Linked DNA regions of Coturnix japonica. Each later gene encodes a partner of the first gene's protein in a complex. Links are inferred from orthologs where the notes say so. Each region holds a gene or a part of one and is shown on either strand. Other genes may lie near its edges.

Region 1 (3,804 bases):
AAACTCAAGAAACTTGACTTGGTTTAGGGTCAAAATTATGTGTATCAAGACTCCGTTTGTACGGCTGCAAGGAAACACTGGACAGCAGCTAAAATCCTGTAGCATGATTTTGCCCTGAGTGGCAGCACTGCTTCCTTCCTTGGCAGTACCGAGTCCTTTTTACTGCCTTTGGAAAAGAAATAAATGGGAAGATACAGAAAGGGACACAAACCTTGCTGGAGTCTTAAAGCTGAAAAACCTCTGTCCCAGTTGGGTACCTGCATTTCGGAGATGCAGCACATGAAAAGTATGACAGAGATTGTAACATGGAGGGGTTTGCTAAGGCAGACTACTAAGAAGAGTGGGTTCACATTAAAAAATGACAGCACTGTTGGAATGTGAATAAATTTCTGTCTTGGGCATCATACATATTTATTTTTAAAAATACTGACACTGGGAACAAGAAGTTATACTTGCATAACAGAGTTCCTAAAATAATTTCCATATTTAAATTCCTTCATGGATTGTTTTGTGGGATGTAGTGTTGCCACAGTACTTATCTGCAATTATTGCAGTCTTGGCATTAAATGCGTCTGCTCTTATGAAAAATTAAAAATATTCAGAACAGAGGGCAACAACAAACTGCAACACAGTCATCTGAGCTGAAAGAGAAAATGCCAACCGTCTGTCACATCCACTCTTAAATCATGTGTCTCTTAAAATTCCAGCACCTCCTGCCATTGGGAACAAGGAATTCACAGAAAATGTCTCTACACTTCCCTACCACATTTGCTTCCAGTGTGCAATGACCACCTCAAGTCAGTTTCCAACAGTTATTTTGCTCCTCATTGGAAAAATTCACAAAGAAACAGAAAAAATGATTAAAAGAATTATTCCATAGAAGCACCAGGGAATTTCTGATAACATAGACAGGAGGCAGATATTTGTAATTTATCCCTTGGAAAAGCAATAAGTAGACTGAACTAACTGTAATGCAAAGGAGGAGGATGCTGAGACCTCCAAGACAAATGGGCACATCCCTGTTAGGGGCTTTTGCAACATTCCTTCCTAGTCAACACCATCCTGAAATGCAAAACACATTACAAAATGCAGCAGCATACCTCCTGCAGCTGCTGCTCTTACACAAGAAGCTCCTGCTCCAAGAGGGCCTCTACACCCCAGCCAGTCACTCTGCTTGCTTCATCCAAGGTAACAAAATCACCAGTGTTAAGGAGCAATTCATCCAGGCCATTTCAGACACTTCAGGATGAGGTGAATCACCACCCAGGGGTGCCTAACTTTTTCCTGTGACTCTAAAGGGAGCCTAGCTCACATGGAGACTTGTACTTGGGGCCAGATGAATCAATTCTAATTAAATTTTACTCTCTGAGATGAAATATAGCAGCAGCATAGCAGTAAGAAGCACTAGCAGCAGCCAGAAGGGTTATATGATCAATGGTGTCTAGGCAGAAGTGAAATCAAGTCTGCAAAGCTCCCACAGTCTACAGAAAGCCAGTTTTGTGACTATTGACATAAGTAAACCTTCACCTTTTTAGACTGGTCCTGATTGAAGCTGCAATGACAAATGCTTCACTTACGACACAAGGGGTGAAGTCACTCTCAATTTCAGTCAGAACCAGACCAAACAGACCACCATGACTTGAATCATTGGCTTTGATCTTGGTCTGCCAATTTATCTTTTAGTTACTGAAGTAATTTCCTTATTGGCTGGTAGAACTTGGCACTTCCTTAGCCAACTTAGAGGACACATGTAGTGTTATCTTTGCTTCTTTAAATATCTACAACTCCGAATTTAAGCAGTAACACATGTTCATTATAAAGCTTTTCAACAAGCAGCACTGTTCGTTTCTTTAAATAATCTCAGGGGTGATAGATGGATAATGAAGTCTATGTAAGAGAATTTAACTTGCAATTAACTGATTCATTAAACAAAATACCTCATCTTTTTGTGAATGTCTTTTTTTCCTCTTTATCAGCTTTTCAAGGATTGAAAGAAAACAAGTTTTCCTTCTTTTACAACTCCCACCTGGTTTTCAATTCGAAATGAATCTGTTATTGCACTGAATTAGCTAGGGCAGGCTGCAGGAGGAAAAATATTTTCTCTGCACCTGCGAAAGAAGCTGCTTGGTTCAAAAGCCACTTTGACACTTCAACAAAATCAGGTTCCCGGACAGAAAATTCGCTCAGCTTCAGCCATATGACATTTTATAGAACTGCCAGTAAACACATTGTGCCAGTACTGCCTTCCATTTAACTAAGGCAGCTGAGATTAGGTTTAGTCTCTACCATGCACTGCCATAACAACAGATGTAACTGAAGAGGGGTGTATTTAAAAAAGCAAATATATTTAATTTTTCAGCTGATTTAACTTGACACATCTTGTCACGTTTATTTGAAATGAAGTAATTTGCTCTTATCTATCCAAACCTAGCACATTTAGACAGCCTGTGCTCTTGTTTACCAGTGCCTTCTATTCAACACAGCAGGGCTGGATGGTTTTGCACACACAGTTTCTGATCAAAAGTAAACAGGATGTATGGAAATCCTAGCATATAAGTGACTTCCGGAGACCCTGGACCTGCAGTTGCACATTCTCACTGCCAGCCCTCATGCCTCCTCTCAATAATGCCTGTAGTGCATTTCCTAGAATCACAGAAAGGCTTGGGTTTTGAAAGTACCTTAATGACCTTTTAGTTCTGAATCCCTCTTGAGGGCAAGGACACCTTTCACTACACTAGGCTACCCAAAGCCTCATCCAACCCAGCCATGTTCACTTCTTCAGAGATGAGGCATTTACAGCTTCTCTGGGCAGCCATACCAGGGCCTTCTGGCCCTCTAGGTAAATAATTTCTTCCTCATGTTTTACCTAAATCTACTTTCTTTTAATTTAAAACCATTCTTCAATATCCTGTAATCCATTCAGTTGCAATTTCTGCAATGTTATAGCCTAAAAAGAAGGTAACTGCAAAAACATGGAGAAATGGTGGTGCATTCAGTGCAGCATGTTTTAACACTAACAAACCTAAAAGTATTACCAGGCTTACAAAAGACTTTGTAATATACTCGGGCAGGAAAAACATTACCATATGATGAGCTGTTGAAGAGCTCAATATTGAAGAAAGCATAGTCCCCATTGGTCATTCCTTGCCGATGAGCAGCCAACATGATGTTCCTGATTGTGTCACCGCTGGCACACATGATTACAACTGGTGGAAGAAAACAGAAAACACAGATAAGAAAGAGTTCAAGAACTTTATGGAACAGATTCTTTAGCATGAATGCTGCCAGAGACAGTGACCTGAGCTGTCCTCTCAGTGTTGCAACAAATATGACAACATAAAGAACTAACAAAGCTAATTACCTAAACTGCTGACAGAAGATGGGCATCAAACATAGAGTGAAATTTTACTCACATCTCCTCTGAAAATAATTAAGTAGATCAACACGTTATCTAATTTTCTTACTCCGGCAGCTCAGGAAAAATTCTGCCTTCAAATTTCTTCTATTATATACATTTGTAGAGTTAATTGCAACCATAAATCTTAGTTATTACTTCAAAGTGTACATAAGACAATCTGAAGATTAAGTAATAAGATACAATGGCACTACCATTTCAATTCTTTTGAAATCTTTGGTGTAGATTTTTACCTACACTCATGCTATCTGACATTTAGGTAACTGCTCTAGAATTTGTTGCTTTGTGATGATCATTGATCATCAACAGTAAAAATGACCTTCAGGCAACCAAGCCTAGAATCTGAGTGTGCAAGCCAAGTCCACAATGTCTCATCCTGTAAGATTTTG
Region 2 (4,554 bases), on another chromosome or scaffold:
ACGTGATCAGGCAGCATCACTGCAGGAACAGCCGTGCTGTTGCCACGCATGGTGACAGGGTGACACGTCCACCTGCCCCCTATGCTTTGGGGGTGAGATCATCCACCCATGCCCTGAATTCTGCCAAATCTCAGCCACAGGGTGGTACAGTACATCCAAGGGTTAAAGGCTTCCCCATCCCACGAAGCAAAAAGATTTTGTTGCTTTTAACCCCTTCTCCATCCCTTCTTCCCCCTCCATCCCCCCACCCGAGAGCTTTTTGCTGCTGTGAAGCAGTGCGGGTGGATGTGGTCTGGTTTCGGTTAAGGGCAGGGTGATTTGAATAACAGCACTAATTGGATTTTAAAAGCACAGCCCCCAAAACTGAGGCTGCAAGCGTTGGGACAAAGCAAACATGCTCACGGGAACCCAGCAGAGCACGGTGGTGAGATCCAGCTGTGCTGTGCCATGTGCAGGATGCTCAGACATAGGGCTGCAACCCCTCATCCCACGGGGGGATCCTTCCCCATGGGGCTGAGCCCCACAAAATACAGAAGGGAACTCTGTGCCCCACGCCTGTGCGTGTGGTCACCTGGCATGGGGGGCCGGCTGTAATGCTGCCTCCATCGCCTTTATCTGCCTGCATGCAGCCGAGTGCCCGAGTGCAACTTTGCGCTCCAAAAAGCCCAAGTTGTCTCCACCTGGCAGGCACAATGGAAAAACCACCGAGACCTTCTCCTTCCAGCTCCCGGCCGCATGGAACTGAAGGGATGGTTCCCTGCGAGGCGGCCCGTGCCCAGCAGTGCAGCTGCAGGGGGGGAAACCACAGCCCCCCAAAGAGCTCGGATCCTGCTGGAGGCAGAGCAGAGCCCCGGGGAGTCCCAGAGAACAGGGAAAGCACCAGCCTGGGGAGAGCCTGGAGCTTTTCCATGGTGCCGTGGATAGGATTTGGGGGCACTGCACCACTAAGAGCATCCCTGCACTTCAGGGCGCCAGGGATGGGGTTGGTGCGGCTCTGGTGCCATGCATGGCAGCAACGGTGGTACCACAAATCCTAAGTCCTGCCCTCGGCTGCGTGCCCTGAGCTGCCACCAGCATCCAAAGCTCATCCTCCATTGCAGCCCCGGCAGCAGGTGGGAGCGCTCACAGCCACATCGCACGGGGACTGTCCTTGCAGGGCAGGGTGACACTGACCGTACCCTGCAGACGAAGCAGCTGTGACTGCCCCAGGGTGAGGGCAGCATCCCGACCCCCAGCGGGAGGGCAGGGACAGGGAGCGGGACCAGGTCTGAGCCACAGCATCCACCTGTGAGCCTGTTCCCACGTGTCCCCGTGTCACCGCCATGCAGAGCAGTGTCCCCCTCTCCTGGCAAACGGGGGTCTGAGAGTTTCATTCTGATTGAAGCCTGGATGCGGGGGGGGCGGGGAAGTGCTTTTCGCATTCATTTCTGCTTTTGGGACTTAATCCCCCTCCAGGATCCCCCTGCGGAGTGCAGCAGCCATCCCATGCCCCTCCTGGGGGTCTGCATGGATGAGGGGGCAGCAGAGGGGCTGTGGGGTGGGGGGATACGGGGTGACAGCCACCCTCGGGGGGGGGGGTTGGGGGAGCTCAGCCAAATGCCCCTCACTTTCCTCTTTGGCTCTCCAGCTCTGTGAGCCCATCGCCTTGGGCTGATGTGTCATTTGTTCCTGCCAGGGGAGAGGGGACCCCCCCTTTAAATTCCTGCTATTGTGCAGTGGGAGGCCGGGCTGGACCTGGTTGTTTAGATGACATCACCGAGCAGGTTGGGTTATAAAATGAATGAAGCAGAAAGCCCAAGTTCAGTGGCTCGGCACAGCGCGGGCGGCAGGAGGGACCTCGCGGCTCCGCGCTGAACTTTGACTCCCTCCGTCCCGGCCTCTCCCCGGGGCTCCCCGCTGCCCCCCGGCCCCATTCCCGCTGCACTGCAGGATGCAGATCTCACCCGTGCTGGCCGGAGGACTGCTGCTCGCTCTGCTCTCCGTCGGGCTGGAGGCGAAGCCGGCGTCCCAGCTCCCGCAGAAGGTAGGGCTGCCTCTGCCCCGCTGCTGAGCCCCAATAGAGTCCTTAGGGCGAGGGGATGGCGCTACGGAGTCCTCCTTCCCATTGGGTTTTGTGGGTGGTAGGAGACCACCGACCCACGTGTAGGGGAGAACTGTGGTTGGAGAGGACGCTGCGAGTCCTCACCCTGCAGGACCACAGTAAGCGGGGACACGGCTGTCCCCACGTCACCCTGCGGTGCTGGAGTCAGACCCGGGTGTAGGTGTGAGGTCGGAGCCCATGGGGGGCACCCTGTGTGTCCCTCGGGGATGGAGCGGGGATGTCCTGGAGGACACCGACACCTGTACCGGAGATACGGCACACGGAGCCGGACAGCGGGGGGGTGGGTGGGGGATGTCGGCATGGAGAGCTGGGGGGCGTGATGGGCAGGAAGGGGGTGAGCAGCAGCCGCAGACGGGACAGTGGAGGCAGTGAGGAGGACGCAGAAGTGAGAGTGCTCAGAGCGTGTTAATGAGGTGTGAGCGGCAGAGCTGGGAAAGCGGGGGACCCGGTGTTCCCCACTTTGCAGAGTGGGGTGACAGCGGCATCAGCACAGAGCGGCAGCGACCCTGCAGCTGGGGAGCGGGACCACCCCACATCGGAAGGGGCCGAGGGCTGGTGGGAGGCGGAGGGTCACGGCGACCCGTGTTTGGGGGCGCAGCCATTTGAATTGGGGGGTGCGGTGAGCCCAGTTTGGGGTGTTCCGACCCCATCTCGGGGCTGCCCTGCACACAGCCCGGGGGAGCTCCGCCCCAGCCCCGCTCCGGGCCGCACTGACCCAGCGGGGGCCGCGGGGGGCGGCGGGGGATGCTCCGCTGCGGGGTAGGGACGCGGAGCTCGGGACGCGGTGACCGCCCCGCAGTGACCGCCCGTCTCCCCGCAGGCGTCCCGCGGAGCAGCGGCGGCGGCGGCGGCGGCGGCGGGTCCGCCCGAGGCTGCGGGAGCGGAGCGGGACAAGGAGAAGGAGAAGGAGCGGAACCGCGGAGGAGGCGGCGGAGGAGGCGGCGCGGGGCCGCGGGAGGCGCGGGAGGCGCGGGCAGAGACGCGGCCCCGAGCGGGTTGGGCGCGGCTGCTGCAGGAGCCGTCGGGCCGCCGCCATAAGGGGCTGCACAAGAAGGGGCTCGGGAAGGGCTGCTTCGGCCTCAAGCTGGACCGCATCGGAGCCATGAGCGGCCTCGGCTGCTGAGGGACCCCTGGCGGTGAGTGCGCGGCGCGGCCCGAGGGCGGTGCTGGGCGCGGGGCGGGCGGGGCTGCCCCGGGGGTGGTTCCCGTGGAGCTGCGATGTGCGAGTCCGGCCGAGCCGAGCAGCGGGGGATCCGCTGAGCACAGCGGCACGGGGCGGCCATGGGCAGCGGCAATGAGCGCGGCTCCTCCGCCGTGTCGGGGACCGAGGGTGCCGCCGCTCCGCCCCGGTCCGGGCTGTGTCCGGACGCAGACACCCGGCTGTGCGACCCGCAGGTGCCGGCACCGGCTCTCGGCATCCCCGGGGCATCGCCCTGTGTCCTTAAGCTCTGCTCAGAACTTTCACCCCACGCGCCCGGCTCCGCTCAGGGCGGTTTCTCAGCCGGGTGCGAGGAGCGAAAACTTTCGGCTGGGTTGGGCCGGAGGACCCCCCGAATCCCAGCTCCGTTCTCATTCTGCTCCCGGATCCCCCCGTACCCATAAAGCTTTAGCGCGGCGGGCAGGACGAGAAAGCCGCGAGCTCCCGTCCTTGCTGGCCCCGGGGCGAGCGGTCAGCATCACCAACACACAACCCCGGCAAGAGCGGGCCGAGATTTCCCCTCGCTGTATCACAGCATCGAGCTCCGTACCCGCACCCCAAACCCGGGACATCCCGCCGGGGTCGCATCTCGGGTCAATGCTGGGCAATGCGGGGCGGGCGCTCACGGCTCTCCTTCGTTCCTCGCAGGGCACCGGAGCAGCTCCGTCGTTCCCCCAAGGGCCGGGCACGGCCGCCCCTCAGGCACCGCCTGGAAGAGCAGAGAAACCCCCCCAGGATCGGACAAAAGATGTGGCTGTGTTTTTCTTTTCGGTACGAGGAGTCACGGCACCCACCAGCTGTTTCGGTTGTTCTTTTTCCCTCCCCGTTCCCCCCCCTTAAAAGCGCTCTCTATCTTCTCTATATTATATATACAAACACTCACCGAGACAAGGGACAGTGCTTTTCTGAGAGACTGATGAAGCCGGCTGTATAACGTTGCTGTTTGTAAATTCATGTCATGCATAAATGTATTTATGTTGTAAAGCTATTTATATATTGTTTATAAAGAGATATTTATAAAGAAATTATTTATGTAACTAAAGGAGAAGTCAAGCATTGTCACGTTGCTGGGGTTGTTGTTTTTTCTTTGTCCTAAGTAGCCGGAAAAAAGGTTAAAAAGAAAGAAAAACCGTTTGGTAACATGTCTTTATTTATCAAACCCACGTCCAACTGCAACGTCGGGTTGATTGATTGGAATGGAGCCGAGAGATGGTCGGGATGCTTTAGAGAAGGCAGGAGCCGGAGGAAGGCTGTG

The links.
Region 2: the proteins of NPR3 (region 1) and NPPC are in contact, whole or in part, in a crystal structure (PDB 1JDP), measured with the Homo sapiens proteins. The link is inferred for Coturnix japonica from reciprocal best matches to the Homo sapiens genes NPR3 and NPPC. Residues at the interface, in NP_001191304.1 of Homo sapiens: Asn110, Tyr138, Ala141, Pro142, Arg145, Ala161, Gly163, Phe164, His166, Glu170, Tyr171, Tyr204, Lys208, Leu209, Arg211, Tyr214, Phe215, Leu217, Glu218, His221, Glu222, Gln225, Ile233; in NP_077720.1 of Homo sapiens: Gly109, Cys110, Phe111, Gly112, Leu113, Lys114, Leu115, Asp116, Arg117, Ile118, Gly119, Ser120, Met121, Ser122, Gly123, Leu124, Gly125, Cys126.

What each region holds. Positions count from the first base shown.
Region 1 is NC_029547.1:9,260,946-9,264,749, forward strand, and holds part of NPR3 (atrial natriuretic peptide receptor 3), read right to left. Parts: intron 3,207-3,804; coding exon 3,084-3,206; intron 1-3,083. UniProt on the Homo sapiens protein: Receptor for the natriuretic peptide hormones, binding with similar affinities atrial natriuretic peptide NPPA/ANP, brain natriuretic peptide NPPB/BNP, and C-type natriuretic peptide NPPC/CNP.
Region 2 is NC_029524.1:13,424,096-13,428,649, reverse strand, and holds the start of NPPC (C-type natriuretic peptide), read left to right. Parts: upstream 1-1,679; 5' UTR 1,680-1,930; coding exon 1,931-2,023; intron 2,024-2,921; coding exon 2,922-3,224; 3' UTR 3,225-3,237; intron 3,238-3,947; 3' UTR 3,948-4,554.